Lepisosteus oculatus: one gene and its partners. The protein of the gene in region 2 interacts with the protein of the main gene of each other region in a biochemical or structural test. Links are inferred from orthologs where the notes say so. Each region holds a gene or a part of one and is shown on either strand. Other genes may lie near its edges.

Region 1 (8,792 bases), on a different chromosome or scaffold from region 2:
AGAATGCTCTCCCTAAACATTTTTTCTACATAAGAGTTGTGTGTGCAGCATTTATTTTAAATAACTTGCAGAGGAAAAATTACAAAACCACTTTGTGACAATTTGTGATCGCAAGGATTCAGGAGCCAAAATGAAAAAGTTTGAAGAAGGTAATGTAGATGTGAAAAATAACAGATTATTTATTAAAGAAAGGCTGCATATCTTGCTATATTTCTGACCTTCAGCATACATTGTTCTTAGAATAAGTTCCTTGATTCTCAAGCACTGTTGAAGCAGAGAAAATGTTCTGTGCTTTGTATAATATGCAAAGTACAAATCAATTCTTTACACAAATTGCATTGCGTGTAACTGATCTTTTTTCCAGCTTCATTTTCTGTGATGTAAGATATGTAAAATGTGGAATAAAAAAAGGAACCATAAAAAGGGAGGGTAAGTTGTGATATTATGTAACATTTTCAGCAATACATTATCTTATTATTAGAAATATTCCAAATAATAAAAATGACAAGCTGTAAAATTGAATATCGAACTTACCAGAAAATAATATGGTAAATATTAGTCATTTGTAAGAGTTTCTTCTTAAACAGTCAATATTTACATAAAATCACAATTTAAATAGGAAATAATTGCAAAAATCATTTTGCATTATTTTAAAATGTCATATCCCCCTAAAATAAATTGAAAACATTTTGTAAATTCATGTGGTGTCATGTGTTTAAAAATATTGATGAGAACTATAGACTTTAAAGTGAACTTTTAAAGAAATGCTTTGTGCAATGTTAACATAATATTCCTTGTTTAAAATCCTATCCATTTAAAGTATACCGTGTATCCTAGCTTGGTGCCCAAAACTATAGACAATATTCTTAATGTGACCATACTAGTGCTTTGAACATTTTAAAATAACATCCCATGATTTAAATGTGAAATCTTGATCTACAGGTAGCTAGTGAAAAAAATGAAATTACTGTACATGCAGTACATGGAGTCATGTAATGCTAGCTTTAATTATTGGAAACTACATTTTTATACAAGACTAAGCATTCTGGGATGTTATTTGCTTAACTATTACATCAGCTAAAGTTATGTGGAAGCCTTTGCTTTCAATATACTTATATACTAAAAGAGGTTGTTTTGTCATTATTCTTGAGCAGTGTCAAGCAATTTAATCTTCAGGCTTCTGTGATACATTTCATGTTCAGAAGTTATTGAAAGAACAGGCAATGCTCCAAAGCTCTTTGGAACCAAGATTAAGTACAGTAAGTGAGAAAAAGTATCAAGAGAAAAATCAATTAGCAATTAATCAAACCCCCTGAAATTCAACTTTTCTATCTAGAATTAATTAACTTTAAATGTGATCTGGTAATGAATACAGGAATATGAAATGTTGGCAACTAATTATTATTTTCAAATGAAGAGATAAAAACCTGTTTTTAACAACAGTACAGCATGTGTTCTATTGTCATTTTAAAAATATTTCTGCAATGGCAAATGAGGCTTGGGTTTTTTTAGGTACAGTATGTAAGTTCCCTGCTTTTGTCAGCTATTCTGCAAACTTTGCCTTCAGTGGAAAATTAAATCCATAGATTCTGATGATGATTCGCTGTTGGTGACTCGCATGTACTGTACTGTAAGTGCATTAAAGGCTTCTAAAACTCTTGTAACAAGCAAGTGACACAGAAGAATAGAATTAAAAAGGATTAAAAAGTTCCTACGTCATTCATCCTCTCAACTGCCAATTCAATAGCCTTCTTCAGTTTGTGGAGCATATTGCATGTCAGTTTTTTCAACCTAAACAGAAGCTAAGGTGGTACCAAACCTTGAGGACATCTTTCACGGCAACATGAAAACTTCAGCCACTTCAACATAAGAGAGATGTATTTATAAGGAAAACATATCAATAGTAGTAACAATACTCACAATTTTGAATTTATTATTTTAAAATCAGTGCTTTTAGCTTTCTCAGGGAATGTGTGAGACAATATTTTATCATCTATGTATTTTTTAAGGCTTTCTGGTTCTGATTAATTTAAATTCCTGACCCTGACCGAACTGGGCATCTACACTCAGATATGAAGACAGAAAACAAGGACATTGCCCAAACTGAATATACAGACACAGAGAATCCTTTGGCATGACCTGTCAGAGTGTTTTTGACACAACAGGCTACCCTTTTCCTTATTGTAGCACAGTGTCACCATATGCTATTTTTGGAAAGAAAGACAAATTATAATGTTTAAAAAATTAGAATCTACAGTATGTACCTGACCACTTGATTAACATTGTTTTGGGGTTAACGTGAGTTCAGGAACTGCAAATACAGTACATAATCTCTCAAGGCTTCAAATGCAATCTCATCAATATATTTTGCATGAATTTGGTGAAAAGCAGATACATGTTCAAGTTTTTTGTATTTGTTTTTTGTTTTTTGAATTCTAGTTTATTGTACACGGTTAAGCGAAAGTGCTCTCCCTTGTGGTACGTTTGATGTTGTAATAAGTATGAAGGAGGATTTTTATTGATTAAGTCAGTGGTTTACTCTTACTGGTTTGGCGAAGAGGAGTACTTAATCTTTCACCTGATAGTGTGAGCATAAATAGACACCCCTGTTATGTGCAGCTGCAGAACAGACCTTTCTGACTACTCCTGTTGTGAAACAGCCGGCAAGGAGACATCAAGAGTGTGACCTAGCCTTTTTCCATTTCACAGCACTAATATGCATGGAACTGGGTCATTGGTCAGCTTGCCAAGAAAAACCTCAAAGGGAGCAGAGGGCAGGGCATCACTGAGTTGGTAGAATGAGAAACTATAATCATAGCTGTGGGTGGTTTTCAGAAGGCTGCAGTGAAACATGCATCTTTTTATTTAATTAACATGCCACTGGTGCTAAAATAATAAGACAGCATAATCCACAGCCATTTAAATTTGTAATATAAGGAAAACATTGCTGATTCAGATTACTTTCCTAAACCTTGACAACACATTTTTTGAGGTAATCTTTCATTTTTTAAAATCTCTATGGGATTAAATTATGGAACGGGATTACGTCTATGTTATTTTGTCTTAACAGTCAAGCAATTTGTGTTTGTGATCATGTAATTAACACAAATAGTAAGTACAATACAATATACATTTTATTTTTAAATAATTAATTAATAAATAAAATGTATTTATTGTAAATGTATACATTTGATCACATTACAAATAAAATGTTCTTTGTGATCAACCCAGTGATTTAAAATGACCATAAATATGTTGGATCAGAATCTCACTTAGTCAATGGACAACTCAATCCATATCATTATTATAAACAATTGCAAACACAGAGGAAGCAATAATTAATTTTATTCACCTTATTTTAAAGCATCTAGGCAAATGCAAACTATTTGCTAAAGTACTGTACTTTTTCTCGGCTTTTCTTCAGTTTTTAACACAAACCAACCAGACATTATATTATCAAAAATGATTCAATTACAGATCATCCCATATTTGATCTTTTGGTACAACTCATTCCTTACAAGAAGACTGCAGCAAGTTAAAGTACTGTAAATGGTATACTTTCTTCCAAGTAAATGACTGTGGAGCACTCGAAGGGTGTATGTGTTCACCACTGCTCTTCACTTTCTGCACGAATGATTGTGTTGCCAGTGGTTCAAACCAATTTCTAAACACATTTTTTGATGATTCCACCTTACTTTCTCAGATGAATGATAATGATGACTCCAACATATATCAGAACAATATATTGATTCTATAAAAACAGAAGAAATTGTCTCTGGTCTTAAACAGAATGGATATCCTTCCCTGGTCATAAGTTATAATGATTCCATTAAGCAAATTTGATTACATAACAAATAAAACATTGGATACATCCTATTAATATCTGGGAATACAGTATACTATACATAGTTGCAAATCTGTATTGGAAGGTACATGTTGACTTTTTTGTAATAAAGTACAGCAAAGAATTTACTTTCTTTGCAGGTTATGGTTTTGGTTACTATTGGTGCTAGTAGTCATACTCTGTGTTTTTCAGTTTTGTGGTACAAAGTGTCATGCAGAATGGAATAACTGGCTAGTATAATAGTCTTTCTGTGCAACATAAAGCCAAGATGACCAGACTCTTGAGGATGTTAGTAAGGCAGCCATTTGCAGAGCCTTCAAACTGCTTACATTAAGAGTATGTGGAGAAGACCTGTTAGGATCTCCTCTGATCGCTTCCATGTCCTGCATGAAGAATATTAACATACAATATGCCTTCAAACAGATGTTTTAGAGTTCCTCAATGCAGACTTAACAAAATGAAGAATTCCTTTATCCCATATTCAATAAAACTACTCAGTCAACAAATGAGTGTAGGTTAAGGGTTATGGAAGAATGCAATAAGTGGTTATGTGCAAAATGAAGAGTGAATAGACAATTATAGAGGCTTAGGGTGATTGTGGGTGGAGTAAATTTACAGGTACTGTAAGTTGTGAATTCCTATAGAAAGGACTATGGATGGGTTGAATTATTTTATGTAATGTTTATTTGTACTGTTCATACATTTTTATAAGTTTCTCTGTAGAAATAGCTGCTTGGATGCAGAACAAATTTCTGAGAAATCAGAGAAATCATTAATTTTATTTTTTTAGAGTTTAGAAGTCTGTATGTGATTGCACATCACTTTGAGGCAATAACTGCATGAAGTGTGAGACCCATGAGCTTACCAATCTGTTTGTGTAACTGATTCAGATGCTTTATTGCAGGCACTTTGACGTCTTGTTAATTCTGAAGTATTGTGGCTTACATTTTTGTTCAACCATGTAAAATGTATTCTCAATTGGTGTTCAGTCCAGAGATTAGATTGGCCATTTTGCTTGCTTTGCACCATCCAGTAACCTTGACAGACATCAGGGGTGCTGCCGGTTATAATTACAAGGCGCGTTGGTAAACCAATCCGAAAGACGTGGGCGGAGCAAACCAGAACCTGGTCTCAGTGTGAGTCTCGCGTCTTGGAAATGGGTAGGCTGTACTCAGTAGAGTTGTAGCTGGATTACCATGTGCAAAAGAGGGGTTATACAATCTTGCACAAGACATTGGTATAAAAAACAGACAAGGAGCCTTTCCCTTTTGGCCCAGACATTGAGCAAAGTGCTAGGGCACGATGGAACCTCTGCGGAAAGATGAGAAACCTAATCCATCGGCCACAGCTAATCTGTTTTCCAAGGTTTTTTTCTGGTAAGAGGGCGATTAAACTAGAAAGGAAGTAGAACAAATCGTATTTTCTCTTATATTCTGGTTTTCTTTGTTGCCGTAAATCCATACAGAGGCTTTTTTGTTACTGTAACGGAAGTTTCCGTTTTTAGTTTTGGAAGCTGTAGGTTTGGAGCCGGTGGTTTTATCGTGTAATGTACATCAGCTACACTGAAAAGAGACAAAAACCAAATAAGAGCTAAAATGATATAAAAACTGTATGATTAAGAAGTTTACAAAGCTAATTGGTTAAAAAAAACTTAATCGAAATGTATAAGCATCGTCTTAACAGAGGGTTTCCTTAATAATATGCAGTGAGCACGTGACAAGTGACACTGCAGTATTTGGTACGTCTGCACTCACGGCAATATGTATAATATTAAACAAAAACTGGTGTAATGTAAATATTTAATTACAAATATAAATGTAATTACTGTGCCGGTCGTTTCTTTCTTTCTGCTTTTTATGTTGCTTATGTACGTTGGTTGATCCACAGGTTGCTGTGTTGCCATTGAGTTTTAATACTATCTTTTGCAGTGAACCTTACCTTTATAGAATGTAACTTAATAATAACACTGATAACATGAAATAGGTGCTTTTAATAACATTTAATGTCATGTTATTTAAAACCACGAAAACGTGATTTTCGTTAGATGCTTTGAAAACTAAAGAAATAGACATGTATCTCCAGCGTTATAGCGAATATTAGGTTATTTAAAAAATGTGCGTTTAACTAAGCACTGTGGTGTGTTAAATAATAATTCCACATTTAGTGTTACGATGTACCTGTACGTTTGCTTTTCTTTATATCAAAAGTCAATCGTGTGAAGCACTTTTTAAAAGACGTACGCTTCTTCTATAAAACTACTCGAGAATTTACCAGCTGTAATAGGATACACTACCGCGGGAATTTGAAAGCCACTCTGAATGTCATCTCTGTACTTTGGTTTATGAGTTGCAAGTCCATTATACTGATGCAACTTTTAGTAGTTGTAATGTGTTCTTCATGTTTTTCTCACAATAGGCAAAAAAAGCTTGAAATATCCACATCCTGGTTCATGGTTTCTGTATAGTAAGATGCAGTAGCTTGTAAAACCTGAAATGGATCAAACTCCTATGCAATGTGAATTTCTCTGTTCACTATTAGGCGGGGTGGAAGCGTGTTTTGCCTATTTTCTTGTAAAAATATGCAAGTGCACCATATGACTGACAAGCTTTAGAAGACTTTGTTCCATTGTCATAACCAGTATTATTTTAATTTTATCTGCCGATAATAACCAAATAGTATTTGACGGTTTAAGAGAGAACATAATTCCTTGCTTTTGTACAACACTTCTCATCTCAAAGGATCTTCAGGCTAAGATCTCTGAAAGATGGTCCTGGTCAGTGCTGGAACTGGAGCACTTTGAGAATAGAAGCAGTTTGCTGACATTAGTGGTATTAGCAGAAACTAAAACATGACAAAGATAGTGACAGGGGACACTGCTATAGAGGACATTGTCCCAGATAACCTGTCAAATGAAGATCCTGAATACCTGGTTATTAAAGATCTTATGGAATTGTCTGTAAGAGTAGGGATGTTAAATGAAGTGGCTAAATTTCACTCCGGGCTTGTACAATTTAGCCTCCCTAAATTTCTCACTAAATTCAGTTGTTGAATTTATTTCTGATTTCCCCACCTGATTAGCTGTGTATTGGGTCTGTAGTAGTAGTAGTAGTAGTAGTAGTAGTAGTAGTATTAACATCACTTTACAATTTTTTGCATTAGGAATGATCTTTTCGCATACCCCAGTTTGGTCTCCATGAGACACACAGACAGGGAGAGAGCCTGGGGTCAGAGCGCAGGGTCTGCCAGTGTACGGCACCCCTGGAGCAGCTGGGGTTAAGGGCCTTGCTCAGGAGCCCAACGGAGTAGGATAGTGGCTACATCACATCACATTGTTAGTGGCTGGTAAATTAATCTCTAATTTTCAGAAATGTACAGTACCTTGCCTTTCTTACATGAGTTCCACTCTGTCGGAAGTTGCGGTGTACTGTAAAAACAGATGCATCTGTGTTGTATCTTGTTTTACTACAAACCTGTAATTCCAATTTTGTAGTACTTGTTAGTAGTTTGTTGAAGGTTGTGACTCTTCAGTTATACATGATTTAGGATTTGATGACCCTGCTTTGCTAGCCAGTGAAACAGGAAAAATAAACTGTTGAGTGGACACACGACTTTGTCATATACAGTATTAGGGAATCCATTGTCCCATTATCTTCTCTCATTCTGTATTTTTCATATTGGAGCATGATTAGAGCACTATTTTAGGAGTTACAAAAGATAATTTTCACATTTTAAGTGAAACTAGTGACTTTGGAATTGAATGTCTTTTATTTTGAGACATGGCTTTGTTTTAATTTGTCTAAATTATAGTTATATAACTGGTGGCATAACCAAGTGAAGACAAACTCCTGCTTTTATGTTTACATGTGGTATACTGTAACTATATTGGCTGTATAAATGCAGCTGACACTGTAGAAGAGACGTAGCCCTGCCTCCTCCTTGTTTCCTCTCTTCACATTTCTGTTAGTACAAACATGTGCAAGGAGCTCATGTATGATCCATCTACTGGTATAAAAGGGCAAATGTTAATGTGTAAAAACTCTGTGTAAAGATTATGTACATTACAAAGGAGAAAAACATGACAGGTCTAATTTTTCTCTTGACTTAGTAGTTTGGCTTGAAATGTGATTAGGAAGAAATAGCAGAACCAAAAACTTTGTTATACCTTCCTCTGCACACAATTAAAACCAAACCAAGAGCAAGATCTAGTAATAAACATAAAGGTGATATGGTATGAACCTTGTTTGTGTAGATAAGCAGAGTGCAGTAATCCCTCATTATACTATCTTAATTTGTTCCTCAAAAACGGCTTGTAAGGTGAAAAGTCATGTAATGGAAATTCCCATTACTTCCTTTGTTATCGTCTCTAATTGATAGTAGAACTCAAAAAAAGTTTCCCTTAAATACCCTAACTTCACCTTAAAGCACAGAATGGTACTTGAGAATGGAAACTAACACTCCTGGTTAATTATTTGACTAACTATGCTTGATGTAATTTATAATTTATCATTTACAATACAGTACTAACATTGTTACATTGTTCATGTTCAGCAAATGCATAAACATCCTGAACTATATGTGCCTAACATACACTAGCCTTTATTATAAAATAGTTTTAATATAATAAATAATAAAAAGTTAATTCCTCATCTGAGAAGATGACAGAGAAAAAGTATCCTTTATTTCTTCTCTAGCCTGTAAGAGTGAACATTTGCTTGTTAAATGAAAAGACAGGTAAGAATTGCTCCATTTGTATGAAATAAAAATTTGTTGAGCGAGAGATTACTGTATACTTCTGCTGCTCTCACTACCCCTGCTTTCACCTGCTTACAGTACGTTTACTGAAAGCTTCTGGTATTATGACTGCTTGGGAACTTGATAAGAAAGCTAATGTGTGCTGTCTTTTCCATTTTAATCTGGCCATATTTTGATTTCCACTAATTGAGTTTTC
Region 2 (8,672 bases):
CCTGCCCTCTAGTTCCAGAATTTAGAGGCTGGTTTCAAAAACACTGTAAAGTACATTATTTCCACCAACACTAGCACACAGACTTTTACGTGGTTTCTCCTCAACATGTGAATTATGAATTTTCTGACTAAATGGCACTTAACTGGCTATCAATTGATGACAGAGGATTAAGGATGAAGCTGTATCGGACAACTGCCTCAGGGAGACTCCACTCCTTCTTTCTGCTTGAGCGTGACTGGTTAGATTTCGTCTTGCACACCTGAGCGCTGCCCTGAGACGCACCAATTAGCACAGGGTTTATGTAATGTCATTTACCAAACCTCTTTATACCTTACAGTGTCGCGGGAAGCCGGAGCCTACCTGGAAAACAACGAGCACAAGGCAGGGTACAACCTAGACGGGGTGCCAGTCCACCGCAGGGCAAGTGCAAGTCAATCATACATGTGGACAATTTTGAGGCTGTTGAAAGGCCGCTGGTCTCACTAACACCACTTCCAGCAGCAACCACAGCTTCCCAGGAGGTCTCCCATCCAAGTACTGACCAGGCTCAACCCTGCTTGGCTTCACAGGGTGATATGGCTGCTGGCTTGCACAGGGTTTATACCGATTACAAATCTCACAAATCACTAGGGGTACCCAAGAGTCCAGTTAAAAAAAAAAACAGCAAACGAAGGAGGTAATTCCTAGACCAGGACTGACAGCTGGGAGCAGCAGACACTGAGTGTGTGTAGTCCCCCACCACCAACACCAGTCCATCACAGAGCGCACACACACACACTTTACTTAACTATGCAAATTAATCAGCATGTAATGACATGGGAAGAAAATGCACACTCCACACAGAAAGAGCCCCAGGCCAGAATTCAACCCTAATCCAAAGAGCTTTGACATAGAACTCTAACCACTACACCACTGCAGTGCCCACAAGAACAAGTCTTCATTTAAGAATCATCCCAGTGACCGAGTCTCCTTCTCAAACAAAACATTAATTTGACCTTTTTTTTTTTACTATGCAAAAAGAGTTTAAGAAGACTTAAGCATACTGGAAAAATAACCGTCACGTTACATATAAATGCATTAAGAACTGTTTTTTTATTTTCTCTTTTATTACTAATTACTATTATAATTACTAATCTACACTGAGAAAAATAATGAAACCATTTCGTGGCCTAATGTTCCCTATATTCCACCTGTGACGGTGAAAAGAGGAAAGGCAGACCAACTACTCACACCAACACCTGTGTCAACGAGTTTAGCAGATTCTTTCCGTCTCCGCTGCAAGGTTACACCAAATTCAAGGGAAGCCGGTTATACCTGTGCACATACCAAGGAAAATAACTAGATCTTATCCAAATGGCGAAAAAACATCAATAAGATGTTAAAGAGCTTCCATTTTGATCCACGTCTATAGTGTAATCACTGTCCTCTAATAAAAACAGCGTCCGCAGGGCTTTGTAAATCTTTAACGACTCGGCTTTTTTGCATTCAATGAACTAGCACTAGTTTAAACCATCTACATCATTTTTTTAAATTTAAATATGCTCCAAAGCAAAACAAATTGGCCATATAACCAATGGCTAACTGGTTCACCATCCTAGGTTGCTCATCGTATTTTTTTTTATTGTTGCTACCTGTCTTGACGCACTAAATCCTGTTCCAGCATGATTAACAGGGGGAAGATAGTTTTACTGAGGTTTTCAATACAATTTCGCAAAGCTGGTAAATCGAAATTTTAAAAAAATGTACGAAACTAAAACCACAGAGGATCAGATTAGCAAAAAAAACAACAACATCAGGTTTATAAACCAATCAATATAAAATGTTTTTATCTATGTTAAATTTAGTTCGACAATCAAAAGCATATTGATCGATTTCAGTTCCTTCTTATTTACCGTTTTAAGTAAGACAACGGATGGGATGTTTTTATGCCCCTCGAGTCGTACAGTAGATTTCCTCCTTTGCATCCCATAAGATCAAATACAGGAGGTCGCACAGTTAACACCAAATCCCTAGCCTAATCTTATTAAAACGTGAAAATATCGAAAGTAATCCTTTCAGCTCTCATCAGACAGACGTATCTGAACAAAACACAAGGTTTACCTGGCAAAATTATTCTACACAGGAAGTGATGCCAACTTAAATGGCATTGGTGCTCTGTAAATTTCCGCATATTTCTCCAACAAAACATTAAGACCAGAAAGGAAGGGGTTACTCAAAACGTACTCTTACGGCGTAAATCGTAATTTAACAGAGTAAAATTACAGCAGTACTGTATTATGCAAATTATATATATACCCATTAATATATCTGACAGCTCCTGTGGCTGTGGCTTTGTTTCGTTCTACCAATAGAGGCGAGCAAACCGAGACAAATAAAACCATACAGAATTACCCTTCTAATTACACAGACTCCAAAAACACGAAAATACTAGTAGAAATTAATAAAATCCAAAGATCTACCTCACTTTCACGTGTTTATTATAGAGACGCATCTGATACTACATTTGGGATGCGCTAGTAATACTAGTAGTATTAAACAAAGGGGGTTTACAGTAAATACACTGATGATTAAAAATCCCCCGTGGAAAGCATCCAGACAGCGGTCACATCAGATTCAGTCCAGAGTCTCTGGAGTTAAACAATAGCTCCTCTGTTCCAGTCTGCCCCCTTTAAAACCTCCAGTGGCTGCGGATTCCAGCTCAAGTTTACCACCACCATTTCACACACCAGCCAACGACATTACTGGGGTGGGCGGAAACAGGGTTAAAATGATCCTTAACCCTTTCCGAGTTTTCCGAGGTCAAATGATATCTAGATCAAACTTTGTTGTTTTTTCCCCCCATCTTCTAAGTGTTTTTGATTAAAACAAACTCAGCGGTACACATATGTTACCTTAAACGTCAGGTTTCCAGACACCTTCTTTCATTGAAATTGCAGCTCCGAAAGTGTTTTAAATCCACTGTTTTGTTTACTTTGGTGCAAATCGTCTTAGGCGAGATAGCTTAAAAACCTCTACTGCATCCATCCACTCATATGACATTAAAGCTCTCAAAACACTGATCACATTGACTGTGCTTCTTCTCCAAGTGCAGTGTTCTCGCCAAAAGTTGTCTTTCGTGTACTTTAGGTTTTTTTTTGCTTCGGGGAAGTAACTTCCTGTTAGCAGGGTAGCACAAAAAAATAAAATTACTTACATCCTTAATTGAAAAAACTTTAGTAGTTCAAGCCTGACAATCAGAAAGAAAAAATCAAAATGTCCACAAAGCGCAAGTATACAAAAGGCGAAAAAATGTCCACCGCTCAGCGCAGCTCCAGAAGACGAGTATTTCTCCTTTTTTCAACCCCAAGCTTGAACACAAATCCTGTTAAGCCTTTTTTTCTGAAAAGGGGACGCCGCACCCATATGCATTCAAATCTGACACCCCCGCCAACTTCTCATTAATGTGAAAAGGCTACATGTACAAACAGATTCGCCACAAATTCACGCACAAACACGGGGAGAGCTAGCAAGCAAGCAGCACAACTTGCACTCCGGTACGGCGTAATTCATGCTCTGGCAGCGATCAAGTCCCAGCCAGCCGAGCACAGCAACAGCCCAGCAACACAGACCAGACGCCTAGGTAAGTCTGATTGGGGCTGATTGGTTTCAGTCTGACTTCGAGATCAGGTAACATAGTGACGGGCAGTACAGTACAACCAATGCTAGCTGCATATCTACCATGTATAAAGCAAGACCGCCAATACCCAGTGTGGAGGCGGGACCCCCAAAACACACAGCATGTTTGGTTGTTTTCCTCCTTTTCAGTTGCTGTAAGAATGAAATCAAAAGTTAGAAATGTCAGCAGGAACTGACTAATTGTGTCGCCTAACAGCGTGTTAAGCTTTGTTTTGATTTTGGGCATCCTTACTTTATTTCCTTATGTCAAAATAATGAAATAGTTAAATTTTCTTTAAAAACATGTTGTGCAATCCAAATAAAACGATATACGACTGTGAAACAGTAGCGTGTGTTATCCGAGGCACTGCTGGTGTATGTTTTGTGCACACCAGTTTTTCCAAACGAAATGTGAATAAAAATCACACGGCAAAACACCTGCATCTACTTTGCAACAGGATGACTTTAATCAAGTCAATCGACCAGAATCCAACTAAACACGATGATGCCCATCTACATCTTCTGTCTTGGACTAGTTAATCATGTAGGGTCTGATGTATTCATTCCACTTTATGGCCTGATTCATTCCACTTTATGGGCTTTTCAAATCTGAAAATTTCGGCTCCACAGCCGAAACGTGTTTTCTTACTTCTCTTTTCAGCATAGAATAAACCTATTACTTGTTCCTTTGCAGCCTACGCATGCTGGCGCAACTACCCACCTGAACTAAGAATAAATAGGTTGCGGATTTCAATGGTGCTGGTGGACAAGCAGGTTTCTCTCATCCCTCTATTGAGAGTTTCAACAAAATGGCAACAGTAGGGAGCTGTAAGACGTGAATCCTAACTGTTGTTAAAGTGTTTCTGACTACTTGGTCATTAAAAATCCCATGGCACCATTGTTTTATTTTAAAACAAACGCAAAACTATTGTAATAAATTATTTACGGCGCAGCTCATTATTCCCATAATTTATTACTATTTTTAAAACGAAGAATTTTGATGTTTAACCTAAGTCTCTCAAAGAGCGATGTGTGGAAAATAGTCAGGACATGTATATACAGCCACTAGTGGGCGATAAACTCCTAGCAGCTGCAATTCGTTTTAATAAAATACATGTACGTGCCTATAAAATAAATAAACGATTCAATTAGTATCAGATGTCTATTGCATTCCTCTCTGATGATGATTATTATTATTATTATTATTATTATTATTATTATTATTATTAAAAACAGTCAAGCGATACATCAGTATCCTTCAAGAGTCATTAGATTTAACGTAGTCTGGTTTCATAGTTTGAGTCTGGCCCTTCTTTAATCGAGTTCTCCCTGTCTCCCAACCTCTGACAGAAACGACGTCGATCCGAAAGGTGCGCAATTATCGGAGATTTTGGTTGCAAAGATTATTTCTTTTGGGAGAGAAGGAGAAATATGAAAGGGGTTATCACGCGTTTTGGCTTGACAAATAAATGCCCAACAGATGGGAACGAGATCGGTGTACCCCAAAACTTGGAGACGGGAGGCATACGGTGCAAAGATCCCAAGAAATATATGCACTCATTCCTTGTTAAACTATTTTACTTTAGAGTACTCGCTAAAACAAGTGGTACACAGACCCGTTTTTGTTGTGCGAGTTAAACGTCTTATTCTTAGAATAGCATGTTTATTCTTGGCTGCTCTTAACAGAAATTGTAATGCCTTATACCATATATGGTGTAGGATAATATTTCTAATGTATAATTTGTAAATAATATCGGTTCACAAACTCTAACATGCTATAGAACTAAATTATTTGTTTTGATTATTCCCCCTATGCGTGCACGGTGTCTATCACCAGACAGCTTGATGTCTTAATAATAAAATTAAGAGTTTTATTCTTTGTACAAGGTATAACTAACAGTTATTTTGTTCATATCGTATTGTTCATTTGTGCTATATAGGTCATGCAAATCTTCCTTCCACATAATTGCTTCCTAATATTAAACATAACAGCTTGCATAAAAAGTGTTGGTAAATTATTCCCGTTGTAATGTACTTGGCAGTTTATGGTTCGAAAATACAAACAGCAGGAAAATACCAAGACACGTCGGTTCGTTTTCTGATAGGAGCACTAGAAATGAATCGAAGACTTGAACCCCCATTTTATTTTAATGGTAATTGTCACTTACGCGTTTCCATTTACGAGCTGACATTTTTGGTCCTAATGGCAACAGCGAGGGATGTGTGTAATACTAGTTCTGGTTGCAAAATGGGAATTCCCGGGCGTTTGTTTAGAGGAAAAACTTTATTGGATTTTTACTTAATCCTGGAAAATACGTCAATATTTGTAAAACCCTCCGATTTCTATACATGCAGTAAACTGTCCGGTCTCGGAGAGACACGTTAGTCTTAACTGCTCCATAAAGTGCCAGGAACTCCGGTTCTTTTTTAAGCTGTTTCTGTTCTGATCTTTCCCTAGTGTCTCCGTTTTCATTCGAAGATAAACAGTTTACATTAAAGTTTTCCAATAAATCTCTTGTATGGGTCTAAATGACACTGGCGGCTCAACCAGTAAAGACCCGTTTAGAATGCAGATTGACTTTTGTGGCTCAGATATTGCTGGGGTGAAGCTCAGTCATCTTGGAGACAGTGCTTCTCTGGGGAATTGTGCACAATTAAGATTACTAGTGGAGTGTGGGGTGTTGCCCAGACTGCAGTGACAATCCTAAATAATTGGGGTATTCTGGGTATACTAAACAACTGCTTTCTTTTTTTAATAGAATTTAACAGAACAACATGTATTGTCTCTTAAGATATTTAGGTATTGGATCCCTCGTTCTGCCTTTGAAAAGGCCACTGAGCTCTGAGACCGGGTCATGTCGGAAGGAGACTGAACCAGGATACCCCAAGTGGGTGCACAGATGGATGTGCCCCTCCTCCAGTTTGCACTGATCAGTAAGCATTAACCGAATGGCTCGGATGTATCTACCTACACTTCCTTAGTCTTCCCTGTGTGCAGTTGTGTGGATAGGAGCTACAAGCCTATCCATGGGAAAAGCCCTTGGCTAATCTAAATTGAGTTGATGCAATGCTGATTCTAATTTTTTTTTAAATGCCAGTATTTATTTAAAACCTATGACATGTCCTTACTCTTACAAATAAATAGTTAACATTTTCCACAATGTTGTTAAAATAAAGAAGATTGCTTTCCCATCTATGATTACTGTGTCACGATCGTAAGTCCCTCCTCTTAAGGGCTCTTCGGCTCTTTTTTGTTTCTGTTGATTTTTTGCACCTGCCTCCTATTCCAGCTCCTCCCTTTAAAAGCCAGACGCTCCTACCAGTCTGGGCTCAACTTTGGAAGATGGACTCCCGGAAGCCCGCCTACCAGCAGGTCCAGGAGTGGCCCAACAGCATAGGCTTCGCAGCGGTGTCCTGACCATCTGGGTCCGGGGCCTGGAGCGCCTGGACCCGTTACCCCTTTCTATTTCCCTGTCCCTTCACCGGATCCCGCTCCGGTTTTTAACTTTTGTCGTGTCTTTCATGGATGGATCACCCAGCTCACTCTGGATTACTCTTCGGACTCCCCTTGGACTTTCGCCTGAACCACGTCCCCCGAGCACCAGTGCACCGTCGACGCGCCCCCCCAGTTCATCTACCAGCCCCGTTCCTAGTCCTCTCTCCCCCATGTTTGTTTCACTCCCTTCCGGATTCTATCGTCTGCGTAGGGTGTTGATTAGCTCTTTGTGACATATTGTACACTGTGCAATCCATTCCTTAGGGTAGTCTTCAGCTTTGAGTTTATTTAGGACTAAATTGCAAAGCAGTTCTGCATCTCTATGTCAGTGGGTACTAACTGCCCCCCTAACTATTCCTAAATGAGTGGAAGGTGCTGTAGTATGTGCCAGTCAGCACATAGTGGAAATGGGTTTGTTTGCCAGTTGTGACCCCTTTGGAGTACCGTTTGTGTTTAAACGTCAGATAAACTCATTTACATGAACCCAGTGCCCCTAACTATAATGCCTAATTTACCACTTTAATTACAAAACAATAATGTTTTTAGATGTTTATCACTCACTTATGACATGCCAAAAATGTCTGGTTTGAAAACACGTGTATCCAGTGCCAGATTACCCATTAGGCACAGTGCCTAGGGCCTACAAAGGAGGAAGACCCTAGTGACTAGCGAAAAACAAGCTGAAACAACATGCTTGCGACCGACTATAGGTGCTCCAAATTAATAATCATATGCTATCTAGCTGCTGTTCTAGAAACTAGAAGTATAGAAGGGATGGTCGCTCGACTTGCTCAACTCGCTCAATCATGAGGTTTAGCATTAGAAAAGTTTAAAGTGCATCATGTCAATCAACGTAATTCAATTGGCATTTACTGTACCCCTCCTTTTGCACATTTCAGAGCAAAAGTGCCTGGGGCATACGAACACCAAAATCCTGCTCTGCTTGTATCACTATCCTTTGTCAAAGAGGCAACAAAGGAAAAATGAGGATGAAGTAAGATGAGCTGTTTGGCTTACACAGTACAGATGTGTGGTTTGGACCACGGATTGTGACCTGTTGACGAACATTCACTACTGGTTTATGAGACAGCTGGGTGTGGTTTCCCTATGTGGCATCGCACAGTTGGCCAAGAGGGGAGTGTACAAGCTGCAGGCCTTGCTGATAGCTGAGATCTTGCAGCTCTTGCTGACTACATCTCATTGTCACTCTGCCATTTGACACGAGTTGCTGCAGACTGCAACTGGAGCAGCATGAAAAATGACAGCTGGCTCAGTGGTACACATTGTGGAGGAACGTGTGCATAGACCTCACCATGTCTCCTTATTGGCGCAAGGGTTGCAGTACTGAGCTAATTGTCATTCTAGATTTGAGCTATTAAAATCAAACTCAGTACAATATTTGTGATTTATTAAACTTTCAAATAGGTCTCTTTATTTCACAGAAACAGCTCATTTATTGGCATAGGATATTTTTCTCCCAAGAATTAAACTCTTTTGTTTTCTATGGGATGGATAGCCTCCT
Region 3 (7,878 bases), on a different chromosome or scaffold from region 2:
GATGCTGCTCTTAGTCTCCACATTTCTGGATACAATAAAGAGAGAAGCTGCGGCGGCATTAATTCTGCGTTATTTAACCTCGCGAGATCCGTATCACAATGTCTGCCGATAATCCTTGGGCGATCTGACTGAGGCACGGCCACCTGCATGCTTTCCAACGTGTGTTCAGCCAGCCTTTTGAGTCCATCACACAGACTCCAGTTTTTTCATCCACTCTGCTGCTACTGTAGCTCAAGCCCGACAGTCAAAGCACCAAGAATGAAATGAGGATGAGGAAGGAAAGGGGAAAATTCAGGCATGAGCCCGGAAGTTTTATTGGTACACAGTACCAGGTCTCTCCGGCAACTAACTCAAAATTGACAAATAATAATAATAATAAAAATAATAACTGCTTACACTTATATAGCGCTTTTCTGGACACTCCACTCAAAGTGCTTTACAGGTAATGGGAATCCGCTCCACCACCACCAGTGTGCAGCACTGGTAAAGGCCAATGGGAAATTTGGCCAGGATGCTGGGGTAACACCCCTACTCTTTTCGAGAAAAGCCCTGGGATATCTAATGACCACAGATCACGTGACATGGACACACACAAGTCAACTGCACATTTAGAGACATCGATTAGCCTGATCTGCACGTCTTCAGAACAAAAGCAGAAGTCGAAGCACCCAGGGAGCACTGATGTGGGGGGGGGGGGGACATGCAAACTCCACACGGAACATTCCATGATCCAGAATTTAACCCAGGAACCCTAGAGCAGCGCAGGTTACTATGCCACCCATTTCCAAAACAATCGCACCAAAATATATTTCATTGCACATGAGATGAGAGCCACACACATGCCCTTAAAGAAAAACAGCATTTCTTCAGCAAGCGTTACCAACTATAGCTGCTGAATAAGAGCCCCAGCAGTTCTAAGCCACTGTTGGCGTGTCAGCGTTTCGTGGATACACCACTGCTGAAAACTAAAGAGCAACGCCTCAATTAATCTTGCAAATAAAGAGGTTTGGATTTTGATTTTATCACTACCAAAAACACAAATACCTTTCTCAACAAGCTGACATGCTAAAATAAAAACGCCAAATGTTACATAAGGCACAACCTCAGACTGAAATAAATACCTCAGTATTCTCGGACGTGTAAAACCGTCTTGCCTTTGGCTCACTAATACACCAAGATCCCTCATAAGGTCGCTGGATAGTATTACTGATAATGACTCCAAGTGCAAGACAGAAGGAGCTGTATATAAAGCAATAAAGTATTCCTTATTTTAAAAGTCTTGTTTTCTACGCTTTTAAAATTTAGATTTGTGAAGTGGTGGGTACCATCATACCGTTCATCCACACGTGGGCGGAGCAGAATTCAGCGTTTGACCGTGTCACTGGATTCAATAGCTATTTTTATTCATTCATGCTATATGGTTATCTATATTGACCTTCTAGAGTATCTATTTTTTCACCCACCAGTCATGTCATCTGAATTCAACACCCTGCCTGCCGTCAGAGCAAGCGATGAGCCTGCAATTAGCTCCTCTTTCGAAATTTAGAGTGGGACTATTAAGTGAAGGATTTTTAACTTCAAATCCAGGTTCCATCACATCGTGCATTAACGACATTTTATTAAAATCTCTCAAATAAAATCTGGGATAGGGGGAAAAAAGGCGTTTCAGCATTTTGGCTGCTTGCGAAATACTGTAAAAAGAGATTTCGATTTCGTAGAACATCCACACTCGCATCTGAGCACGACTGAAGTCGAACTTCAGACAAAGCCCTTTAACAGTTCAGCCACATCTAGTCAAGTGATATTAAAGGACAAAATACATTTCGTTCCAAAATCGTAACGAGGGACCCAAATCATACGGGTTCAATTATGTTCTGTAAATGACAAAACGTTACATTTACGCGTTTTAAAACCCGCTGTTCTAACGGTTTATTGCATCAAATCTGGAAGGTTCTTAAGTGGCTCAGATCCTCCTGTTCAGTTACTTTGAGAAAACTTACTTTTTTGTCCCCTGATAACTTCTAAAAAAACTTATTTTCAGGACATTCCAGTACCAGCGTCCCACCCTCAGATTCCCAATTGTTGCACCAAATGCATTTCAGGTCGCTACAGAGAAACGAGAACCAGTGAGATTGAAGCAGAAAGTAAATTTGCTGCAAAACACAACCGGACGGACCCCCTGTGAATAATTATTATGAGTGCAATTCCCTAAAGCCCCAGACCCCCTGGGGTTCAAGCAAAGCGTGCAACCGCAAGCACAGATAACGAGGGCCGCTCAGGTATCTTCATAACCACTCAAGAAGGGCTTTTGGAAAGAGAAAATAAATGCCATTTGCCTCTTCCAGAAAACATTTCACGGGAAACGAATGGGCAAGATTCTAGGGTTCAGCTCACGACGTTTACAGCAGCTGTTTTAGTGCACAGTTTCGTTTTTACCAAGCAGGTGGTTTTACTAGTAACAATGTTAACATTCCACTGTTGTGTTTACCTTATGCATGAGTGCGTTTCCAAAACTAAACTACTGCTCAGCGAAAGCAAAAGAAGTCGCTATGAGACCTGCTGCAGCGGCATGTTTCATACACTGTATCCATCACCACCTACAAAACAAACATATTATTTCCCCCAAAGTGGGCAACAGATCGGTCCCCGCATCCCTTGGCCGAAACCTTCCAAATAAACACGACAATCGGAAAGCATTTCGACTGTCAACATAACAAGAAAAGGTGGTTGTTTATTTTTTACTCTGCATGTTTCGGTCTCGAATTCCCCGCATTCTTAATACGAACATTCCCCCCATATCATCACCGTACAAAGAGGCGATTGCATTTTTAAAATTTGGGGATATTCCTACCTCCTCTCTCGGTTCGGAGTTTTCCAAGCACGTAGACGGCGGGGTGTATTCGAATCGGATCAGTAGATGGATCCCTTTTTGTTGGCAGGCTCACTTCGCCCCAAAACACGGTGTTTTTTTTATATAAAAATAACACCTCACACACGATAACCGAGCGCACTGCTCGGCATTCACCACTTGGATCGGGAAAAGACTCCTTGGAGCAAATAGCCCACCGGAGCTAATCTGGAAATGCGCAAACGGGTGCACTTCGCTCAACTTCTAAAGCAAAAAAAAAGAAAACTAACAATCCCGTTCGAAAAACAATGGCTCACTAAAATTGGCTCACTATCCGACACTTTAAGAGTGTCGGATATGTCATAAATCCAGTGGAAATTAAATCTAAAGCCTTGCTCCTGAATAAACACGTTTTTTTCGATGCAGTTTAAGCGACTGCCTTCAAAAATAAAATAAAAAATCACGCGGGTCCTTTACAGGTAGTTTTTTTGTCTTTGATAATGTCTGCAAGCTTTAATAATTACATTGATTGCAGGCGTGCCGACATCTAATGCAAAATCAAAGGTCCTCTTCCTTCGGCTTTTATTTATTTTTGCGATAGTAACAGATAGAGATTGATCTCTAATCAGGTGTCTTTCTGCCTCCTCCCCCTCCTCCGTCAGCTGCTTAAAAAATATCCCCAAAAGGTAAGTGGTCCTAGTGAATCCTAACACGCTGATTGTAGCCTTCCAATAGAAAAGATTGATGGGGTTGCAAGAAGAATAACAGTCAGGACCGTGTAATTCCCTTTCTCTCCCCCCCGTCCACTACAACACCCCCATATAAAAACACTAAACTGACAGACCAGCACACACACCCCCCCCCTGCGCAGTCCGCGACACAGCCAGCAAACCAAAACTACATGAAGAGCAGAGCCCGCCCCTTACCCCCGCCTGCCTTCGAGGAACAAGACCCTGATATCGCCCTCTATTGGCTGATCTGTGCTGTCACTCCGACGCGCTCGGCCGCTTCTCGCGTTGTCATTGGCGGCAGCTGCTGTCACTTTCCCGACACGTCGCTGTTGTCGAAGCTCCGCACCTGCTGCTGCAGAAACTAAAAGATGTTTGAGGGAAATAAAAGGGCTTCGGAAATCCGTCTAATCAAAATGGGTTTTTGAAACATGATTATAACGTATCATCATTTTCCTGCGTGTGATAAAAAGGCTTGCACTGATCTTATTTTTAATACATGTTTTGTAGTCTCTCATTATCATTGATCCTGGATTGAAGCAGGATTATTATTTTAAACTATTCGGGTACTGTCAAAAATCCAGTTTTGTTTCAGAACTCAGAAACAGTCCTTGCAATTTGGATATCATTCACTTGTTTTGAGGAAAATTATGGGTCAGATGTCTCTATTTGTATTTGATTCAGCGGAAAATACTTTATTTGTATGGCCGATTGTTTAAAGCGTTGTCAGATCACATTTAGATATTTAGGCACCATGCGCCATCTCCGCTCTGAAATTAAGCAACGGATTTCAAAAGGTGGTACATGAAATAAAGATTCAGGTGGGTAGCTGCGTCAGCATGCGTAGGCTGCAAAGGAACAAGTAATAGGTTTATTCCATGCTGAAAAAAAGAAGAAAGAGAACACAACGTTTCGGCCGTGGAGCCTTCTTCAGGTGTGAGCAAAAAATAAAGATTGTTATTAGCGGCTTCTCAATTAATCATTGATCAGCAAAAAAAACCGAGGGGCGGGACAAACAGAGTGAGGTCATAACCCCTCCATACGCAGCCAATCAGAGCGCGCGTTGCTGCTGTGTCCTCCCAAAACAAAACGGTAACTTGTGGGATTTAACTTCTTGTGTTGATCATTGCCAGCAATCGGATCTGTGAGTAACAAAATACGGGTTGAAAGCGAATTATTTAATGAGCAAGAAAATAAATCCTGACTGTGAGCAAAAACAAAAAAAAGGCAGGAAGTTAAAACTGCATTCTGCGGTGACCCTCCAGGGAGGTGGTGGTTTCGTTATCTGTTTAACAATTAAGGGAAATAGAAATAAAAAAAAACATGATCTACTGTACAGTAGCTCCAGATATGTTTACCTCCCTGGAACTACCTGAAGCAGACTATTGCCAATAGTGCAAGGCGACGGAGAAGCTATGAAGGATTGACTTTTGCTTTTGTGTTGAAGACAGACAATTCTATTTTCATCTTAACAGTGTCAAAAATTGTTCTGAAAAAAAAAATAGGACGAGGTAATAAACCATAATAGTGTTTGCTACCTTGTCTGTGAAGCAGTTAGAAAAAGTCGGCTGTTTTCCAAGCGCTTGAAACTGGTACAGAGTACTGCGATATAATACGACTGTGAGCGTGGTTTTAAACTTGCGAGGCGTGACTGATGCTTATCCCCTATGGTTAATAATGCATATCCCCTGTCAAAACGGTAGGGAAAGGTAGTTTCGCCATTAGCTAGATGAAAACAGATATCACATAAATTTCAATACAGAAGCTTAAAGACGTTATTTGCAAAGAGTTTATGATTTCTGATGATGATCCAGTATGATCAATTCTGTGTACCTAGTACGCTACATCTCGGGCACAAGTCAGAAGAAACAGGTGTGCGACGTGTTTTAGATGGGTAAGTTAGAAATACGTAACTCAATTATTTAAAGCGCAGTGCAGTTATAGCGAATCTGTTAGCATATATGCCAGTTAGCACACTGTGATTATATGCCGTTTTAATTGCAGTAATTCAGAACATAGTAGTAAGATAATTGTCAAGTGTAGGCGTCGCTTTTCAAAACCAAATAGTGTGATTTATGAGAAACCCCATAAAAACCGTGCTTGCGAGGTCAGTCATAACCGTGCGTATCACTCACTTGACGGAATCTACAGTATGCTGTACATGCAAGGCCATATGTTCGCAGGAGGCTGGTTTTCCTCCCTATATAATATTCTCACAAAGTTTTTCCAACACATGAGGGGTTATAATCTTCAATTCCTCATCACGGGTAGCCTGCTGTCAGCTAGTTACATAACACACCAGTTCCCACTTTGTTACTCGGTTATTTCGAGTTACCTCACCTGCTAAAGCGTACAAGTAGAATATAACTTGAAATCTGCAACTGTTTGGAGGAAGTGAAAATAATCGAAATGGCTTGATTAATTAAGCCAGTCGATCTGACTGTTTTTTTATTTATGGACGAATAGACTCTATTCTGAAGAGAGCAGGGGAAAGGGCAGAGTTTTGTAATTCCTGCATTCTTTGTATGTTCTTCAGATTTTTGTTTTCAAATATGCTGTTTTATAACTAGACTAAATGTCAGATTCCTTATGTGACCAATAGAATTGCACACACTAACAAAGTACACTCAGTGAAAAGGAAAGCACTCATTGTGAAATGTTTGTCATCATCTGCAGGGGGAGTGAGTGAAGAATTATCTGACAAAAAGTGATATATGTAGAATCCAATGTTTTGGCATGCTGTGCTTGTAAATTATTATTAAAATAAGAAGAAATTGGCTGAAATGCTGGAAATTGTTATTTGCTCATAACTGAAAAGCTATGTGACCTAATGTCTTTGTTTAAAGCCCTCCAGGCAGCCCTGTATCTGTTCTATCTGTGGAATACATTGTGGATTTCATTGGCTCATCACTCAGTCAAGAATTTGTTTAAGATCTAACCTTGACAGGGAACATATCTGTATATTTGCATTGTACTTCAAATGAAAGGCAATCAGACCTGTTGAATGCAATCTGACTCTCCTTATTTAGAATTTTAGGATCTGAAAAGTACCTAATCCGTTCATAAGAAAGACTCAACAGGTTTTGATTTTCTTCTTTAAATTTCCCAAAAAAAGGTCATTTTACTCTGGTGCATTGCCAGAAAGAGGTTAACTTGAGTCGTCGAACTCTTTGTAGTTATCCATCAGATTTAAAAAAAACACAGATTCTTTTTTCTCCCTGCTGTCTTCCTTTATTTTTCGTATAAATTGAGTCTTTTTCCTAATGAAATGGTCTGAAAGTACCGTTGGTTCAAACTGCTGACCACAGAGAGCAAGAGATTACAGAATTGTCTATTATGCAATGCATTCTACATTCTAGAAGCCTATTGTCGATGAGATGGAACACAGCTGCCACAAATGGCTTGGTTCTTTTTAATAGGAAATGTAGAATTTGAAGTGCAAAGCCTTTTATTTGGTCTTTTACAGCGCTGAATCTGTAGTGACCCATATAATGTGGCTTTCATCTCGGGGTGAAATGCTCTTTAAAGTAAAACAAAAACTAAGACAAGTTGGATCTGCTTTTACATCTTCTTTCAAATCTACTGCTTAACACTTTTTAGCAGTTCATTTTATTTCTGTTGATCTGGATTTACTCCTATTTGGTAAATTCCCTGTTTTTGACTTGTTGCGTCTCAGGCTTTTTAAAAAAAAATACCACTGTACATAATTGCGCATGACTAAATATCCATCTGTTTTTTTTTTCCCCAAGAACCAAATCATTTGTCCTTGTTTTGACCTCCAGTGTTGGCTTCTGATGCAAAGCATAGGGGTTTATAATCTTAAGCCTTTCTTGACGTTGGTTGATGACCGGGATTTTGGAAAGCCTTGCAAAGGTAGCTGTGATGCCGCATCCAGCACTTTTGTTGAACTGAAAGTCGCAAAAAAAATCAGGAGCTCAAGATGAAAGAAGAGGGGTCCCAAGTGCATTTAATTGCTTCTTTTTATCACCGAAAAAAGTAGCTTGCATCAGTGTGTGCATCCAGTTTTAATTCTGATTTGGTTCGCACTATATTTAAGGTCACTTCTGAGGAGCGCAGTGAAGGCACCCCTCCTGGTGCAGCTTGAGCACGTGTGCCCCTGGGTGATCAGACATAGCGCTACAGAAGCCCTCCCATCACCTTTGTCACAGGGCTGTCTAACACAGCCGGCAGTTCAATCTGTCACCGGAATCTCTTTCCCCTGTGTAATAAGCTTGTCTGACATTGCCCTCTCTGTCCTGAAGCAGACACAGAACATCCGATTCAGCCTCCATTGCTCCCAGC

The links.
Region 1: the proteins of erbin (region 2) and abcc4 interact in a test that uses a peptide from one of them, tested with the Homo sapiens proteins (2 studies listed by BioGRID and IntAct). The link is inferred for Lepisosteus oculatus from reciprocal best matches to the Homo sapiens genes ERBIN and ABCC4.
Region 3: the proteins of erbin (region 2) and arvcfb interact in a test that uses a peptide from one of them, tested with the Homo sapiens proteins (3 studies listed by BioGRID and IntAct, with this or other methods). The link is inferred for Lepisosteus oculatus from reciprocal best matches to the Homo sapiens genes ERBIN and ARVCF.

The regions. Positions count from the first base shown.
Region 1 is NC_090710.1:7,172,936-7,181,727, forward strand, and holds the start of abcc4 (ATP-binding cassette sub-family C member 4), read left to right. Parts: upstream 1-5,106; 5' UTR 5,107-5,146; coding exon 5,147-5,220; intron 5,221-8,792. UniProt on the Homo sapiens protein: ATP-dependent transporter of the ATP-binding cassette (ABC) family that actively extrudes physiological compounds and xenobiotics from cells.
Region 2 is NC_090698.1:27,933,162-27,941,833, reverse strand, and holds the start of erbin (erbin), read right to left. Parts: upstream 3,493-8,672; 5' UTR 3,194-3,492; exon of another isoform or gene 2,892-3,193; intron 2,133-2,891; exon of another isoform or gene 1,893-2,132; intron 1,253-1,892; exon of another isoform or gene 1,231-1,252; intron 1-1,230. UniProt on the Homo sapiens protein: Acts as an adapter for the receptor ERBB2, in epithelia. By binding the unphosphorylated 'Tyr-1248' of receptor ERBB2, it may contribute to stabilize this unphosphorylated state.
Region 3 is NC_090717.1:2,959,469-2,967,346, forward strand, and holds the start of arvcfb (ARVCF delta catenin family member b), read right to left. Parts: upstream 3,687-7,878; 5' UTR 2,852-3,686; intron 1-2,851. UniProt on the Homo sapiens protein: Contributes to the regulation of alternative splicing of pre-mRNAs.